Arabidopsis thaliana: one gene and its partners. The protein of the gene in region 1 purifies or fractionates together with the protein of each later gene. This does not show direct contact. Each region holds a gene or a part of one and is shown in the gene's direction. Other genes may lie near its edges. The genes, in order: RRP45a, RRP41L, AT5G38890 and AT2G07110.

What was found.
Region 2: the proteins of RRP45a (region 1) and RRP41L fractionate together in Arabidopsis thaliana (co-fractionation; one large-scale study listed by BioGRID). This does not show direct contact.
Region 3: the proteins of RRP45a (region 1) and AT5G38890 fractionate together in Arabidopsis thaliana (co-fractionation; one large-scale study listed by BioGRID). This does not show direct contact.
Region 4: the proteins of RRP45a (region 1) and AT2G07110 fractionate together in Arabidopsis thaliana (co-fractionation; one large-scale study listed by BioGRID). This does not show direct contact.

The regions. Positions count from the first base shown.
Region 1 is NC_003074.8:4,154,478-4,158,891, forward strand, and holds RRP45a (ribonuclease PH45A), read left to right. Parts: upstream 1-1,576; 5' UTR 1,577-1,729; exon of another isoform or gene 1,730-1,853; 5' UTR 1,854-1,867; coding exon 1,868-2,004; intron 2,005-2,130; coding exon 2,131-2,340; intron 2,341-2,414; coding exon 2,415-2,510; intron 2,511-2,591; coding exon 2,592-2,706; intron 2,707-2,816; coding exon 2,817-2,897; coding exon of another isoform or gene 2,898-2,924; exon of another isoform or gene 2,925-2,987; coding exon 2,988-3,176; coding exon of another isoform or gene 3,177-3,212; exon of another isoform or gene 3,213-3,269; coding exon 3,270-3,365; 3' UTR 3,366-3,487; downstream 3,488-4,414. Other genes in the region: HAC5 (histone acetyltransferase of the CBP family 5), read left to right, coding at 1-18; AT3G13000 (ubiquinone biosynthesis protein (Protein of unknown function, DUF547)), read right to left, coding at 3,737-4,057, 4,134-4,253, 4,345-4,414. UniProt on the Arabidopsis thaliana protein: Probable 3'->5' exoribonuclease involved in the regulation of cuticular wax biosynthesis. Can perform exosomal functions and partially complement the yeast rrp45 null mutant.
Region 2 is NC_003075.7:13,737,407-13,742,481, forward strand, and holds RRP41L (3'-5'-exoribonuclease family protein), read left to right. Parts: upstream 1-2,341; 5' UTR 2,342-2,429; exon of another isoform or gene 2,430-2,539; 5' UTR 2,540-2,554; coding exon 2,555-2,693; intron 2,694-2,765; exon of another isoform or gene 2,766-2,824; coding exon of another isoform or gene 2,825-2,837; coding exon 2,838-2,916; intron 2,917-3,009; coding exon 3,010-3,112; intron 3,113-3,185; coding exon 3,186-3,306; intron 3,307-3,463; coding exon 3,464-3,552; coding exon of another isoform or gene 3,553-3,621; exon of another isoform or gene 3,622-3,743; coding exon 3,744-3,893; intron 3,894-4,151; coding exon 4,152-4,241; 3' UTR 4,242-4,492; downstream 4,493-5,075. Other genes in the region: AT4G27480 (Core-2/I-branching beta-1,6-N-acetylglucosaminyltransferase family protein), read right to left, coding at 1-105, 182-257, 338-911. UniProt on the Arabidopsis thaliana protein: Non-catalytic component of the RNA exosome complex which has 3'->5' exoribonuclease activity and participates in a multitude of cellular RNA processing, maturation and degradation events.
Region 3 is NC_003076.8:15,567,664-15,572,059, forward strand, and holds AT5G38890 (Nucleic acid-binding, OB-fold-like protein), read left to right. Parts: upstream 1-1,754; 5' UTR 1,755-1,843; coding exon 1,844-1,996; intron 1,997-2,132; coding exon 2,133-2,207; intron 2,208-2,304; coding exon 2,305-2,393; intron 2,394-2,477; coding exon 2,478-2,562; intron 2,563-2,792; coding exon 2,793-2,874; intron 2,875-3,143; coding exon 3,144-3,235; 3' UTR 3,236-3,506; downstream 3,507-4,396. Other genes in the region: AUG5 (HAUS augmin-like complex subunit), read right to left, coding at 1-39, 624-1,141; AT5G38895 (RING/U-box superfamily protein), read left to right, coding at 3,612-3,641, 3,792-3,973, 4,291-4,396.
Region 4 is NC_003071.7:2,952,060-2,955,259, reverse strand, and holds AT2G07110 (exosome complex exonuclease RRP46-like protein), read left to right. Parts: upstream 1-2,051; coding exon 2,052-2,283; intron 2,284-2,346; coding exon 2,347-2,447; intron 2,448-2,530; coding exon 2,531-2,650; downstream 2,651-3,200. Other genes in the region: AT2G07120 (F-box associated ubiquitination effector family protein), read left to right, coding at 538-612, 669-1,655.

The DNA.
Region 1 (4,414 bases):
GCCTCCACTCCTGAATGATTAACAGACATGTTATATTCTCTGTCTATGGGGTCAAGGGTTCGTGCCTGAAGTAACGATCCAAATGGCAGGCGAATCAAGAAAGAATGAGATATTTTTGGCTGATTAATTTGGAGATTCAAGAAGCTAGTTTAGGAGAGCTCATGGGAAAATGAGCAGATGGGTCTCTTCCACAACTGCTAATTTAGGTTCACAACGAGGTACATAGATATTTTTTCTTACATGTATTCTAAAGTATAGACATGTGTATAAGGGAATTGTGATTTTGATTCAATTTTTGGTGATTCTGTTCATTGAATCCTATTGAATTCGACTACTGAATTTGATCTTAATTTACTTACTCTTTGATTCCTTCGTATTGTATATGTGGTATTTTTGGCAAAGCTATAAGCTAATAAATTCTTGATTTTCAATCATTACATATACTAGACTGGAAATGCAAGTTTTTACTTTATATTCAACTAGAATACTAGAGTTTATCCAGTTGAACGAAACCAAGACCCCGAAGCATTTTGGAGTCATTAGGCAACGAACCCATTATAATGTATATAGAAATGATCTTAGTACGGCGAAAGCCAATGAAATTAACAAAAAATACACTGCCAAACTAAAGTAGTAGAATTCACCTACTAGACATTCCATGGTGAAATGGATCAGACAGTTTGATGAAACTCTGGGAAGCTTCATAAGAGCATTGGTGATCGTCAGGAACCTTTTCTTAACATCCTTGCCTTCACTCAATTCGACATTAACATTGACAGTTTCAAGACGTTTTAAATTTGCCAAGAAATGCCTCATTCGTTTCAGCTCTTCCTCTTATCCCTCTTAGGGGTGCAAACGCAGGCGTCACCACGTTTGTCTGTAACTTCATGCACAAGACCGTGAAAGCAAAAAGAACAAGGCATAAGCAAATTCATGGGAATAATAACTTTAGCAAAGAAACAGAAGTGCGTGGTGATCGAACGAAATAGATGATACCTTGATGACTTAAGTTTCTAGATTTGGAGAGTAGTTAAGGAGAAGTGGCTCCACTTACCAGCCTCTTTCTTTGTTACACTCAAAAGATAAAGTAACGAGGTTGGGAAACACCGGGATTGATTTACAGCACGAGTAAAATACCTGGGATCTATTGTCACAACCAAAACAAACATATACACAAAATGAGACTTTGCTAGCTAGCATGCACTTCAAATAGAATCAACCAATAGAAGAAGAAGACGTAGCAGAGACTGACCTCAAGAGAAACAGCGGACAAGTGAAGGGTTTTAACATTGCTTATCCCTGCAACCAGATTCGTAACATAACCAACAATATCCTCTGTATCACCATCCACATAATAATTAATAGTCATCTGGAAGACGCTCCCATGAGTGTAGCTTCTACAAGGGAACCCAAATCAACCTCATAATCTTCTGCGGGATAACCAGAATAGTCAAGATAGACAAGACTGGGTGTATCAAACAGACGAAAACCCTTGTGACCGTTAGGGTAACGGGGCCAATGATAAGAGCTGGTCAGTCGTTTGATAAGAGAAGGACTAGACACGGTCCCTCCATCAAACAAATATTATTAAAAGGAAAAAAAAAGAGATAAATGAAAATTGGTCCATAAGACAAATACTGAAAAGACGAGGGGTTAAATTGAAATAAATCCCTCCTCTTCTCTGTTCACAAAATCCTCGCGCCACAAAACCCTAGCTGAACGGAAGAAGGTTAGTGGTTTAATCTCCCTCTGGGGAAAGCTGCTTATGTTGATTCTCTAGGCTTTTTTATATTCTGAAAGTTTTGATTTTTTGTATCTTGTTTTGTTTCTCAATCATCAATTTGTGGTAGTAGCTCACTAGCAAACAATGGAGGGGAGGTTGAATAATATGTGGAGGTTGACTGTGAATGAGAGCAAATTCGTTGAATCTGCGTTGCAATCTGAGCTCAGAGTCGATGGTCGTGGCCTTTATGATTACCGCAAGCTTACTATTAAGTTTGGCAAGTGAGTTTTTCTCCTATTCATTGATTATGTTTACCTTTAAAGCTTCAATTTTTGTTGATGCTTTTGATCTCTGGTTTTGCAATGTTGTTACTGATGATTAATTTAATCTGTGTGAGTTTTCGATAGGGAATATGGCAGCTCACAAGTTCAACTGGGTCAGACTCATGTAATGGCTTTTGTGACTGCTCAGCTAGTACAACCTTACAAAGACAGACCTAGTGAAGGCTCCTTCTCTATCTTCACCGAGTTTTCTCCAATGGCTGATCCATCGTTTGAGCCAGGGCATCCTGGTGAATCTGCTGTTGAGCTTGGCCGTATTATAGACCGTGCTCTACGGTAAACCTCTCTTTTTGATTTGATGCTACAAACAAAGTTTTTTGTATTGATGGTCTTTGTGTTGTTGGTTGCAGAGAAAGCCGTGCAGTAGATACAGAGTCGCTTTGTGTTCTAGCCGGAAAGCTGGTTTGGTCTGTTCGCATTGATCTTCACATTTTGGACAATGGAGGGTAGGTCTTCTTCATGTTTATCCAAGGTTCTTGTTGTGAGAATGATCTTTTATGTGTATATTGTTACTCACTCTCTTACAGGAACTTGGTTGATGCTGCTAATGTTGCTGCCTTAGCCGCACTCATGACTTTCAGGAGACCTGATTGCACTGTAGGAGGGGACAACAGTCAAGACGTGATCATACATCCACCCGAAGTTAGTAATTCATATTTTTTTTTTTTCAGTTTAGTTGATGAACTTAATAACTAGAGAGAAGGAAGTTCTCAACTTCAACTGTTTTGTACTATATTTGGTTTCTTTTACAGGAAAGGGAACCACTTCCTTTGATAATACATCATCTCCCAATAGCCTTCACGTTTGGATTTTTTAATAAAGGCAGTATCTTGGTAAAAAAATTGTGTTTTGTTTATTGATAATCTTGTTTACTACGTTTTTGTTTGCATCTGAGATTACAAGTGTGTTGTGTTCTTATGCAGGTGATGGACCCAACTTACGTTGAAGAAGCTGTTATGTGTGGGAGAATGACTGTGACAGTCAATGCCAATGGCGATATATGCGCAATCCAAAAACCAGGAGAAGAAGGCGTGAACCAGAGTGTAATCCTTCATTGCCTGCGTCTTGCTTCTTCAAGAGCTTCTGCAACAACAAAGATAATTAGAGATGCAGTAGGGTTTCGTAATCCGGAGCGTTTTCCTTTTTAGATTGATTTCTATTGATTTAAGGATTTGATTTTGTTGTGCTTTGTTTTCATGGTGTAGGTTGAAGCATACAACCGTGAGAGGAGCTCACAGAAGGTGAAGCGGCATCATACTTTGGCTAAGTCTGAAGTTTTGGGACCTATTGTAGTTGTGTAGGAAGAGACATAAATAAAACATTTGCTGTGGTCGTCGATTGTAAATAAAGATTTTAGTTGTAGAAATCTTATCAGCAACACTAAGCTATAAAAACGTCGATATGATCAAGACATGTTGAGACTTCTCGCACTTAAATAGATGACTAGTCTCAACTCTTCCATTTATGTCTTTCTGAAAGAAAGTTGAAACACAACATATTGAGACTTCTCAGAATTAATATGCATATCCTGAATAACATGTACACTATAAGCCAAAAGCTATGTTGGAATAATAGTAGTAACCATGATCATGAAACAGCCTCCTCTCACTGTTCGTTCTTATGAGGTCGGTTAAAGCTTTTTTTACAACAGAAGAGAGTCTTTGAACTGTTATTACAACGAGGTGTTGTCGTCGGGGAGAAACAGGTATCTGAAACGAGAATCGAAGGGGAGTATTCCGCAGTTCCGTGAAGCGAGAAGGCTTTGTCTTCTCTGAGAGATGCATTGCTCCACAAAAGCAGCTTGATGTGGAGGAAGGTACCTTGATATCCAGACCCCCAAGTTCGAATCCTCCACCAAACTCTTGGCATAACAATGGAGCATTTTGGGTAGTAAGAGCTTCCCTTTGCTGCTCAGCCCTACCGATGCTTGTATGAAGTCCCTTTGTGCTTCTAGCATCTCTTCCTTCACTCCTTTCGCAGAGTAGATCCTCACCTGCAAGACCTCTTCGTGTTAAGAAAATGACTGTTTATGACTTTTGGAAACGCAGATTGTTACTTAGTTAAGTTACCGCAGGTGAAGAGTACATTCCACAGCTTAGAGCAAAGCCGAGAAGAGGTTCATGTGTATCAATGCTTGCCCTGCGCTGTTCTTCTGATACTTTCATCTTGTGGATGGCAAGAAGCAAAGCCTGCATCAGCAAACAGAGCAAATTGTTTAACTGACTCTGAAAGAGGAGAAAAGAAGAGCCTCACAGAAGAAGCTGGGTTCAAAGCTCATACAATTTGTGGCCTGTGCATAGGCGGTTTCATCTTCAGTATCACATATTCCATTGTCGCCGCAGTATATGAG
Region 2 (5,075 bases), on another chromosome or scaffold:
TTGAATGCAGTTGGCATTGTTCTGCGAGGTGTAACCCAGAAGACATCTGACTTCTTTGTGGAGTAAAGCCCCGGGTCTATGATCAGCGGCTTTGCTCGTTTTTCTCTGCGAAAAAACCGCATTTGGATGAAAACAGAACTAAAAATGTCTCAAATGTACTATACAGAGAAATAATCATTACTCTTTCCAGCCTAGTTTGCTACTGTGGTCGATAAAGTTGAGGTTCCGGTCCAGTCCCGAGAATGTATCAATCAGATCTGCAAGCAAGGGGCATTGATAATCCGGGCAGAGATTATTTGAAACGAAGAAAGAGAGACTAGATACATAACTATATTACCATCTTGAGTGACTAGAGGATAATCCGAGGCACTGAGATTGATGAACCAATCCCATTCTTTACTCTGCTTCAAGAGAATAGCGCAAGCGTGGAGCGTGTTAGCCACCATTGTGGGTCCTCGATACGTAACAAGGTTAGCCTTTGTGATCATGTGAACATTTCCAACATCGCTAAAAACAGGATCTTGGCTCACACGTTTAGCCAGCTCAAGCCTCTCTTCAGCAGGAGACTCGAGATCAAGATGAACAACGTACTGATTCCTAGGATGGTATAATGTTCGTAACACTCTCCACAGACTCTCTAAGTCACCTCTTGACCCTGAAACTAGATAACCAAAGCGAGGAAGACTAGGCTGTACTGGAGGAGGATGCGAGGACTGATTGATCTTTGACTCTGCAAATTCGACTCGTGTCTCGTTGGTGGTCGATAGATTGTAGGAGAAGATGAGTGAGTTAATAGAACGGACAGAAGAGAGGAGACCCATGTTGAAGGATGCAGCTATAAGGAATATGAACATGAGAGAAGCCATTGCTAGAGGGAATATCCATCTCTTCTCTGAGTTTGAGGACGCCATTAAAGAGCCTTCTCATATGTGATCGATCTCAAAAACCAATGTTATGTCAACGAAAGAAGCCAACACTTTGATATTGTCGACGCATCAGAGAAGAAAGATCTTCACAAATCGAGGTAGCGCCTAACCTACGCCACAGTTGACACACAATCAGAAATCTATACATGTATTGATGAATATTGAATTCAAACAACGATCAAACACAGTTTCTGATCCTTGATTCCGATCATGCAAAGAGTAAAATAAAAAATTGATACAAGTCGAAAAATTGAAGAGGAAGAAAAACAGAGGATTTGATGAATCGTCGTGATCACAAAGTATGAGTATGAGCCGATCTTGTAATAATAAAAAAGATCGAAAAGAAAAATCTAGAGCTGTCTAAGGATAATGAAACCTACTTTACATGTTCCTATTCGTAAGAAATCAAATAACGTAAAAAAAATACCTGGTTCTTAAAATTTCATGGAGATGACGTGAGAATGTTTAAAGATCCGGGCAGTTCTTAACACAATCCACGAGGTTGTCTTTGTCTGAAACGAAGATTTGTTTAATTAAAGTGTCGGATTACGTACCTTTTTTTTTTTTTCTTTCTTTTCTATAGAAACTAGATAATGAAAGAAAGAAAGAAATCTGAGAGTTATGGTACTAGCCACTGGGCTTCGGTTTTTCCACAGAGATGTTTTCGTTTTAACTCACTTCCCAGAAAGAAACGGTGCCTTCTCCTTTGACTTTTTATCTGAGTCCTTTGATTTTTGATTTGTTGTGAGGTACTGGCGTATTAAATTGCATTAATTTCAATATACAGGCTAAAAAAACATAGGAGTACTTCTTATTCATTATTGGAGGATGTTACTACTGTATACTGGTGTGGACAAAACGTGTGATATGGACCGACGACGTTGATGATTGCATTTCGAATAAAATGAAAATGGAGGAAAGTGGCCTAGTAATGCGGAAAATGCCAAACATCGTATGATCGAGGCATAATGAAACCCATAATAATGTTTTTAAGAGGTGGCATTATGATGATTTAGCTTAATGGTTATGTGTCCTCATTTCAATCTTTGGGTTATACTTAATTTGTATTATTAGTTAATATATGTAAATATGTTTTCCTTAATGGTATTGGATTTATTATTAATGGTATGAATATGTAAAGAAGTATTTAGTGGAAAATATATTTTTCTATATCCCATTCACCTAAATTCCATTAATTGTCAAACATTTAGAGCTATTAGCTATAGTATTTTTATTTGATATCAACAACTCTATTTTTATTTGATTACTACACTTTTCTTTTTAATGTTAAGATTTATACCAAATATTTTAAAATGATTACAAAAGTAAAATCTTCTAGTAAATTGAAACTACGTAAATAAAAATGTTTATTACTTTAGTTACTTAAATATACAATTTCCCCCTTTTTTTTAATTATTTTTTGCTAAACCCTAAAAATCTTTTAACGGCGTTTATCGTTCTTCCACTCTCTCCGCCGCGTTCTCTGTCTCTCAAACCCTCAGGGTAACGATTCTTCTTATTAGACCAACTGTTGCTTCTTTCGCATCGTAGCTCTGAGATTGACCCATTGATTTCTCAACTCTTTCTCAGTAATCAGATTCGATTTTGTTTAGTCTCAGCTCAGAACAATGGCAGCTAAACCTGGAGCCGCAACTCCAACGTATTCACCTAAAATCGTCGGAAGAAGTCGGCTTCCTATATTCAAAGATTCCGACCTCGATTGGTCTCGTCCTGATGGCCGTGGCTTCCACCAATGCCGACCCGCATGTAAAAACACCTTTGATTCCTCTAAATTCTTAATCGTTAGGGTTCTTCATTGTGAAATTACGGTTGGATTCATATGACTCCAGTTATTTGTGAGACTAAACTAGATTTGAATTTTGTTTCTTTTGTGAAAAATGCTTCTTTCAGTACTTCAAACTGGTGCTGTGAGTTCTGCTTCTGGTTCTGCTTATGCTGAGTTTGGGAACACTAAAGTTATTGTTTCAGTGTGAGTATTATTAGATTAGAAAACTTGTATATTCAGGATTTGCATTAACTTTTCTGTCAGCTAAATTCGCTTTTGTGTGTTCAAAAATTTTAGATTTGGGCCAAGGGAGAGTAAGAAAGCAATGGTTTATAGTGATGTAGGTAGATTGAATTGTAATGTTAGCTATACAAATTTTGCTTCCCCTACTCTTGGCCAGGTAATCTCCAAATTTCGCAACATTTGGTGTTAACTTGTTTCATCAAATTTAGTAATACATTGTGGTATTTTAGGGAACTGATCACAAAGAATATTCATCAATGCTTCACAAAGCATTGGAAGGTGTAATAATGATGGAGACGTTTCCAAAAACAACCGTTGATGTTTTTGCATTGGTTCTTGAATCTGGAGGAAGTAAGTCTTAACAATAACTCGACTGCTATCAAAATTATTTTACCAGAATGTGATTGCTTATTGGTTCGCTTGGACATTCGTGGAGTTGATTATGGAAGCAACTTATTGGATTGTTGTTTGGCATTTTCTGATTTTCTCCAATGGTATTGTATTGCAGGTGACCTCTCTGTTTTGATATCATGTGCTAGTCTTGCTTTAGCTGATGCCGGAATTATGATGTATGACCTTATCACAGCTGTTTCAGTGGTATGTGTATGTTACAATAGTTGCATTGATTCCTCTGCGTTATCTCTTATGTTTATTAGCATTAAGTGAAGAAGAAAGTAACACATACATTGACATATACAAGTGCACCATAGTCTGAGACATGTAAAACGTATAGATATCTGTTAATTCTTTATTTTGATACACTGAAATTATGCCTGCAATTTTCGAAGTCTTGCATAGGCAAAAGCCTTATGATAGACCCGGTTACAGAGGAGGAAGGATGTGAAGATGGCAGCTTTATGATGACGTGCATGCCATCTCGTTATGAAATCACTCAGCTAACCATCACTGGTGAATGGACAACACCTAATATCAACGAGGTATGCCTTTCAATAATATCTCTTGTCCTTAATTTGCCGATGACGGTTAGAGACAAAAGGTCTTTCTTTTCTTAGTGTTGAATATTGATGTTATTCAACTGCTTTGTTTGTCTAAATCACATGGATATTGGTTAATTAGACTGTTCTTCATTTTCTTTTTAAGCTGTTCATACCATAGGGTCTATGTTGTTAACATATAATTGTGACATAGGAGCTGTGCAGACATGTTACCAAACATTTGTATTTCAAATATTGCAGGCAATGCAGCTTTGCTTGGATGCTAGTTCAAAACTTGGAGAGATCATGCGTGATTGTCTGAAACAGTCTGCCTCAGCTTCCGATGAATGAGCATAAATAACTATGATTTTGGATTGTAGCTCAGACTTGGTATGAAACCGGTTTTAGCTGTTATAGGTAAACGGATTTAGTCTAAACCTGTGTGTAGTTTAAACCGATGTATGTTTTCACATAAGATTTGATGGAACTAGATCTTTAGCTATGAAATGGATCCCAATTGCGAGTGGTATCAAAGACATACAGAATTTAAAGTAGGGAATTTCAACAAATCAATCACATTGTTCTTTACAATTTCAAAAAACTTGTGGATGATATTAATATCAGATTTTCTAAATTTATACGAAAATGGAATGATATTAAGAATAGTATACAGAAAAATGAAGAAAAGAGTAACTGATTTTTGCATCTTAAAAAAGAAAAAGTCTTCTCTGGTTCACACATCACACAAGTTGGGGGCGGTGATGAAGGAGGGTGTTTAGGTAATATCAGCTAACGTCGGAACTTCAACTGATCATGTAGTACGTACGATACGAAGAAGAAGAATCTAATCCGCATGACATGTGATTATTTTGGTCAGAGAGAGAAGAGAAGACGTGTGTCGCAGCAAAGTGGACAGTTGTGCCCTTATAGCCAAAGAAGACTTCACACGTTTTCAACACCACCTAACAACTGTTTCTTTCTATCTCCCACCTCTTCCCCATTTTTGTCTTTTTATTTCTTCTTCTAGTTTCTCCCAATTTTCTCTTTGATTTTTTTTTGTTTTTTCTTGTCTTCTTGTTAAGATTGATACATGAACTAATAGAGTAACTAGTAAATTCTAAGACCTTTCAGCATTCTTGAAATGACAATTACAAACACACGATAATTTGCGGGAACATGAATGAT
Region 3 (4,396 bases), on another chromosome or scaffold:
CATTGTTGATCATACGCTTCCAACAATGCTTGCTTGTGTCTGAAAAAAGGAAAAATAAAACTCACTAAACAATTTGAAAGATCTACTGAACATAACTACAACAAATATTTTGATTTGTTGTATGAACAGAATCAATGCATTTCAACATAGATAAATGCTGTTGATTGAGGTTCATGAAGAGGGCAAAAAGACAATCAATATCGCCATACAAAAGTGAGAATCTTAAGAATGGGCGATGTGGCATATCCATGAAACCAGAGAAACAAAATAGCCTGACTAAATCCCATATATTCCATTCTAGGGTATATTAAAATCATTGGAGAATCAACAAAACGAAAGAAGAATACTTCAGGGCTATATATCTATGGCTCCTGAAATCATAGAGAAACGAAATCGAAATACCACCAAAACTCTAAGCAGCTAACCATACTACACATAGCAACCATACTTGTAATGGTTCTGTTGAGGACTTAACACTAACGATAATAAAGCATAACAACAACAAGAGAAAATATTAAATGAACCTGAGCTGAGTGGTGCAGGTTATTTCTATTGTATTATTTTACAAGTGAGAAGCAATGTATCCAAATACAGTATTCAAAATTGAAAGATTCAAAACAAACCTGTAATTTGCTCTTTCATCAAGCATCCTCTTCCGCTCTGCTTCTTCTCTAGAGACCTCCAACATTCTAGCTTTCAAATCTTTTCTTTGCCTCCTCACTATGTTCCTCAATCTCTCCACTTCCTTTGCAGCTAATTCCCTTTCCTGCAATGCAGCTTCTCTATCCTCCGCATAACTCGAACTCTCACCAGTCACTGTCTTATCCTTCCGCCTTCCTTTACTCTTACTCTCCTCCTTCCCAGGATTTACCGAACTCCCAATGCTAGCATTACTACTTCCCCCATGAACCGTAATATTCCGCCTAATTCTCTCCACTGTCTTCTCCGATTTCACTCGGTTTATCAAAAAATTCCATATAGGTATCATATTCCCTCTACAAATCTTCCTTATAGCATCAATAGAAGGAACATGAGATTTGCTCGATCCATTATACGGACCTAATTGCCTGTACCCCATTTCCTTCTGTAACCATTCTAATATCGCCTCCGGTGTCGGAGCCGAGCTCGATAAACTCTGCATTCTCTCTACAACTACAATACCTAACTCAATCCCTCAAATCTTCATGAAACTTCCGAAATTTCTACTCATACTTTGCGCCTTTTCTTCAAATCCAAACAATCAACGTAGAGAAATACCTAGGTTACTCAAATCGAGCGAAAACAGGAGTTCATAGACGCTATAAACCTAATACAATTCGCGAAATGCAGCAACAATCGAGCGAATTGGTACTCTGATGAACACAGAGACAGAAGGAAGACGTAGACAAACAGATCTGGAATCCCGACGACTAACTCGCCGGTTCCGGTGACGGTAGATGGAAGATTGTGACGGAGAGATGGATCTGGATAAAGAGATTTCAAATCGAGGTCCCGCTTGTTTATTGGATTTTCAATTAAAGGAATCAAACTCGAATTTTTCTGCAAGTGTCGTCGACTGTTGAAAGTTGAAACTGGGTAATAACCGCGTCGGACTCGGGTATGAGATGTATCCGGGTCGGACTAAGGTATTTAAGTCTAACCGGGTCGAATTGGGTAATAAGAAAACACTATGGGTCAAAATTAGAATAGTTTAAAATTACAACCAGAACATTTAGGGTCAAAGTTGAATTTATATAACACTAAAGGGATGGATTCCGAATTGTTTTAATTTTCTCAATCTAAAACCCAGAGGTTCCTTCCTAGGGTTTTGTTTGATACTCTCAAATCGGAAAATTTTGAAACAATGACGACGGGGCTAGTAACGCCGGGAGATGTAATCGGGAAAGCGACAGAGTTTAAAGCTGGAAAAGGAGCTTACGTCAACGACGCCACCATCTACGCTTCCCTCACAGGAACTTGCCGGATTGTTTCTCCTCTTCCCGAATCAATTGATCAGGTTTCGTCTTTGTTCCAAGTGATTAATTCTTCTGGCACATCTATTCGTAATCGAAATCGAAATCGTTGGATTGTTATACTTGTTTTTGTGATTGTTATGGATATATAACTTATTGGATGATAAAAATGGTAAGCAGAGAGCTATTGTGGAAGTTACAGGTCACAAGGCACATGGTCCTATTCCAGAGACTGGTTCTGTTGTCATAGCAAGAGTGAGTCCTGCACTTATTTCATTGGATTCATTGATGTTCATACTTGGAAAAAAAGAGAGTAATTTCATCACTCACTATTCTCTGTTATTCGTGATAGGTGACTAAAGTTATGACTAAGATGGCTGCTGTTGATATCTTGTGTGTTGGTTCAAAAGCCGTTCGTGAAAATTTTGCTGGTGTAATTAGGTGAATTTCTCATCCTCCTTTGGTGTTTATTTTCAAGGTTTGTTCTTTTATGTGTCGATCTAACTTGTGTTTGCTCTTTCATAGGCAACAAGATGTTAGAGCAACAGAGATTGACAAAGTTGACATGCATCAGTCTTTCCATGCTGGTGACATTGTTAGAGCTATGGTTGTATCCTTGCGCTTATGTTTCACACTTATTGTCTAGTAGTACAGTGGTTAACATTGTTTATTAGAGGAGAGACAATTCTAAGATTTGTTACATTATGCCATTTATTTTCTCTTTTTACTTACATATCTCTTTGTATAGTTTAATTTGAATGTAGCGTAGGTGTAGTCTATAATAATAGATGATGTTTTGGGTGATAATATCTGAAGTTGCCTTAACTTGGACTCTTAAAGCTGTCTCTTGGTGATGCACGGGCTTACTACTTGTCAACTGCTAAGAATGAACTTGGTGTGGTCTCAGCTGAAAGTGCTGCGGGTAATTTTTTTCCTACTCTTAGAAACTAAATAAAGGGTAATGAGGGCAAAGATTACTAATTATATAGCTAATCTATCACATATCAAATTGTAATACATTTCTAACTTGTAGTTCTCATTATGGAATTATGAGTAACAAATATTTTCGTCCTGGACTTGGAGTATGTTAATGTGTAGATGCATTTGCTTCTTTGGGCAGTTTATAATACTATACGAAGTTAATTTCCGTTTGAGTAATCGAAATGTTTATGTGGTCTGGTGATTGTGCAGGCGAAACAATGGTTCCGATAAGTTGGACAGAGATGCAGTGCCCCTTGTCGGGCCAAACCGAGCAGAGAAAAGTTGCCAAGGTGGGTAATTGAATTCAAGACAACACTTGGCTTCTCTCACATAATGAGGTGTGGTCTCTGCAGCAAGACAGACATTTGAGATTATTACAATTTTGAGCTCTTCTGTTGTTTGTTATCAAGTGTAGAGATAACTTTAGACCAACTTGACCTTTATTCGACAATAGTCAGGATACTATTATTATTAGGATACTTACAACTTCTTAAACTCGAAAGACATTTTGTTGTTAGAATTTGAACATAAATCCATAACTCCAACAATGTGGAAATGCTAGGCTTAGCTCGGAACAACTTAAAAATTCATTCGATTGTCGCAATTTCTTGGTGAGTTGGTAGTATAAAAACTTAGCAGAAAATCAAGAAACAAACTTCCTAAGAGATGTAAATCTGTATGCCCTTGGTGCTGCCGAGAAAAGAAATGGTTTTTGTATACAAAAATGTATGGGTCACAATTAGAATAAGTTTAAGCTTTATAATCGAAACGTTTGGGGTCATAACTAAATATATGTAAAATTAAAGGGACTATTTACGAAACTTTCTGTTTTTCCCTGGTTAAATTTCGACCAAAAAGGCTTATGGATCAAAAGGTAGAAGAAGACAAAGACGAGAGAGAAAGGATCGCTATTATTCAGGAAACTTCATTTTGCACTTTTTCGACGAACCTGAAAAATCTTCAATTTTAGAATTAGTCAATACCGGAAAATTCCTGGGTTTTCTCTTGCTTCTGGATTTTCTCAGGTCTCTATCACAAAGGTACTCATCGATTCCTCTGTTTTTTGTTTTCCTTTGAAAGTTTCTTTGATGATCATTGGATTTTGATACCATTCATTACTGATCATCTGATGTTGATCGATGAGCTTATGATGGTTTTTGGGTTTCATCGGATTGATGCTTTTTATCTGAAAGGTTGATGCTTTTGCTCGTACATTAAACAATGAATCCTTAAAAAAACTGTTTTTTTTTGCTCGAATTGTATAGTTTTGTGATGTGTATTAGCTTATTCAAGTTTAGTTATTCATTTGGTTTTAGAAATGTTATATGTTTCTCTTACAGGTGATTCTACTGTGTAGGAGGAACAAGAGTTTTGCACCAAGAAGAGAGAGGAAGGATTCTGGTTTACGGGAGCTAGTGAAAATCTTCTGTGAAATTGGCTTTCCTCTCTCATTCTCTGTGAAA
Region 4 (3,200 bases), on another chromosome or scaffold:
CTCGTATAATGGTAATCAATCTAGTTTCTTGCTAGATTCTGCTGATTAAAACCAATAGATCTTCTCTATTTTTGTCGTAAACAGGTTACAAGGTTAACAATTAAAAACAGAATATATAAACAGAATATTTCTCCAAATATTGTCTTCTTGTTCTTAACTCTTAAGAAATGAATTTTTTTTCTTATTTCTTACAAAAATATGCAGTTCTTATTGAAAGATATATTTCTTTCTTTTTTATAAACAATTTAAAGAATAATTGTTTTTTTATTTATTCCTCAAATCTATGTTTTTAACTTCTTATCCTTGAGAAATAATTATTCAGTAATTTTATTATTGGAAGATAAATCTCTTTCCTAAATAATTATTAAGAATTATTTGACATTTACTTTTAAGAATTATTTAATATTATCCCCAAAAAAGGGTGTTATTTCATTTTCGTAACAGATAAAAATATTCCTTTTCTTATTTATTTGAGTCGTACACGCGGTGGTATATATATAGATTCTCCTCTAAAGCCACCGAAGTCGGAGAAAGGTAATGGCGTCGGGGAAGCTTCCGTGGGAGTTGGAGGAAGAGATACTGTGTCGGCTTCCACCTGGATCCCTTGTTCGGGTAAGATCCGTATGTAAACACTGAACGATCTTCTCAACGACAAATGGTTCATCAAGAAAAGCTTGGGTTGTGCACGTCCCCAATTTATCATCCTGCCCGAATCCAAGATTTATTCGATAGGAACCATCGGCCTGGACGACTTTGATCCGAAGATAGAGGTGCGTGAGCTAGCCTGTCAATTTCATTTTAAGGCTGAGAAGTGGGCATTTACCAGGATCACGGCTTGCGATGGATTATTGTTTCGTGACTTTTGGAACCAAGGGGTTACCATTTGGAATCCATGGTTAAGACAGGTTGGGTGGATCGAGTATAAGGAGGACAGAGATTTCCGTTTTTGCGGTGTAGGATACGATGCTTGTAAACCCGAAAAGGATTACAAGATCTTTGGGTATTTTAGTCGTTTCTATGACACTACACTGAAAATCGGCCACAGATTTGCGATCTTTGAATGTGCGTCTCAAGCGTTTAAGTTCATTGATTCCCCGGAATGGCCAATGCTGGCAGGTCGAGGTGAATATGTGTCCTTGAATGGAAATTTGTATTGGACTGCTTACAATGAAGATACTCGTGAGCATTTTCTCGGAAGCTTTGATTTCTCCACAGAAATATCCATGCACTTTTGTCTCCTTCCTTGTGGGAAGCATGTTTCTGGCTTACGAGATAAACTTGTCCTCACTGTATTTAAGGGCGATCAGTTTGCATTGTTAAAGCAATCTCGTATATCAAGTAATACAGAGATTTGGGTAACAAATGACATGATTAACTCTAGTAATAATGTGGTGTGGTTAAACTTGATGACACTGTCAATACCTGATTTTCCCTCGCTATTCCATCAGCTTTCTGATATTAGTTACTTCATCCATGACATGACCCTTATCCTGTGCTGTGACGACAATCAAACTGGAGTGGGTTGCATCTTTATTGCGAGGGGAGACTTCTGCAAGAAGATTCAAATAGATTCTGTCTCTCTTGGGTTTTCTCAATGTGTCCATCTTCCAAGTTTGACCTCGGTTCCTTTGGAATTCAGATCACTGCAAGTTTAGAATTTCGATTTTTCGAGTACAAACAGTCTTTGAAATGTGATTCTTTTTTCATGTCTTTTATATTATACTAGATAAATACCCACGTGTAGCGTGGGTTTGTTTTGAAAATTGTGAAGCGTGAGTTTGTTTTGAAAATTGTGAAAAACAATTATTGATTGTTTTTGCTAATTTATGTTTATTTTTTATTCGTTATTATGTAGTTAATTAATAAAACTAAAACTATCTTATGTAGTTACAATTTTTAAGATTATATCTTTTTTTTTTACTTGAAATATAACTCGTGAAAGACTTACTTGTCAGCTGAAACCTCTTGCTTATTCGCGTAATATCCTTCATCGTCCTCATGGCTCTCCTAGTTGGTCAGAAGGTACTTTATCAGCTTTCTCAATATCTATTATGGGTACAAAGTTGTTTTTATCCTTTTTGAATGGGATACATGGAACTCTCTCGTTTATATTTTCAGAGGATACAAAAGTTCTATCTGCGCAATACGGACCTAAAGCAAGAACGAAGAAGAACGAAAATGCTGAGAAGGCTTGTTTGAAGTCATATGGAAGCCTTAAACCGGATAGATTGGTAATCGTAAATGCGTTTAGTTTTTCAGAAAGAGGCTTGTTTTGTCGCTTGAGTATGTAGTACAGGTGATTCTTGGTTTTTAGATGTGAATTTCTTTTGCTTTGAATATTGATAGGAAAAGTTGAAAAAGAGTATGAAACGATACTGAAAAGGACGCTACAGAGTATTTGTGTTTTGAGAGTTGTTCCAAATACCACCACCTCAGTGATTATTCAGGTGAGTAACTATTCAATGTTGTGTATATATATATTGTCAACTTGAGTTGTATCTGATGTTTTCATTTTGTAATTTCTGTGTAGGTTGTACATGATGGTGGTTCTGTATCGTTTTTATGTTCCTTTCACCTTGGTAAACATTTACTAATGCTGTCTGAAACACATATAATCCGGTATAAACAATGTCTGTTTGAGTATTTATAGAGTTTATAGTAGTGAAAGTTTGTAATCCCATAAACTGAGAGTGTGAATATGTTTTTGTGTAACTTCTACCGTGGCCTCCATTCTGGCAGTTAGAAGGTATTAAACGTTTGTTCTAAAGAAATATGATGTACAAAAAGGGAGACTATGAAGGATAGAATTTACGAAGTCGAGAAATTTACCTTGAGATTCTTCTTCTTTCATATTGAACGATCTAGCAGAATAAAAAAAAAAATACAAAACAGTCATACAAAACAGTCTTTCAAATTACTTGTTTTCTTAGCATAAATCTCGAATAGCTTAGATATATTTAATTTGCATATTTATTTAGTTTTTTCATAATAATCATCTAATTTTTAGGCAAGGAATATGTGTATCATGTTTGGATTTTATTTTTTTCTTCAAGATTAGTTTAAAAATTAAATTAGTTTTAAATATTAACTGTTAATTAAAATAGTTAAACTAATGATTTTAGAAATGAGAATTATTTAAAATTTTTAAATGAAAAACTCAAACTTTAAGAAATCATTTCTTAATAATTTCACTATTACTT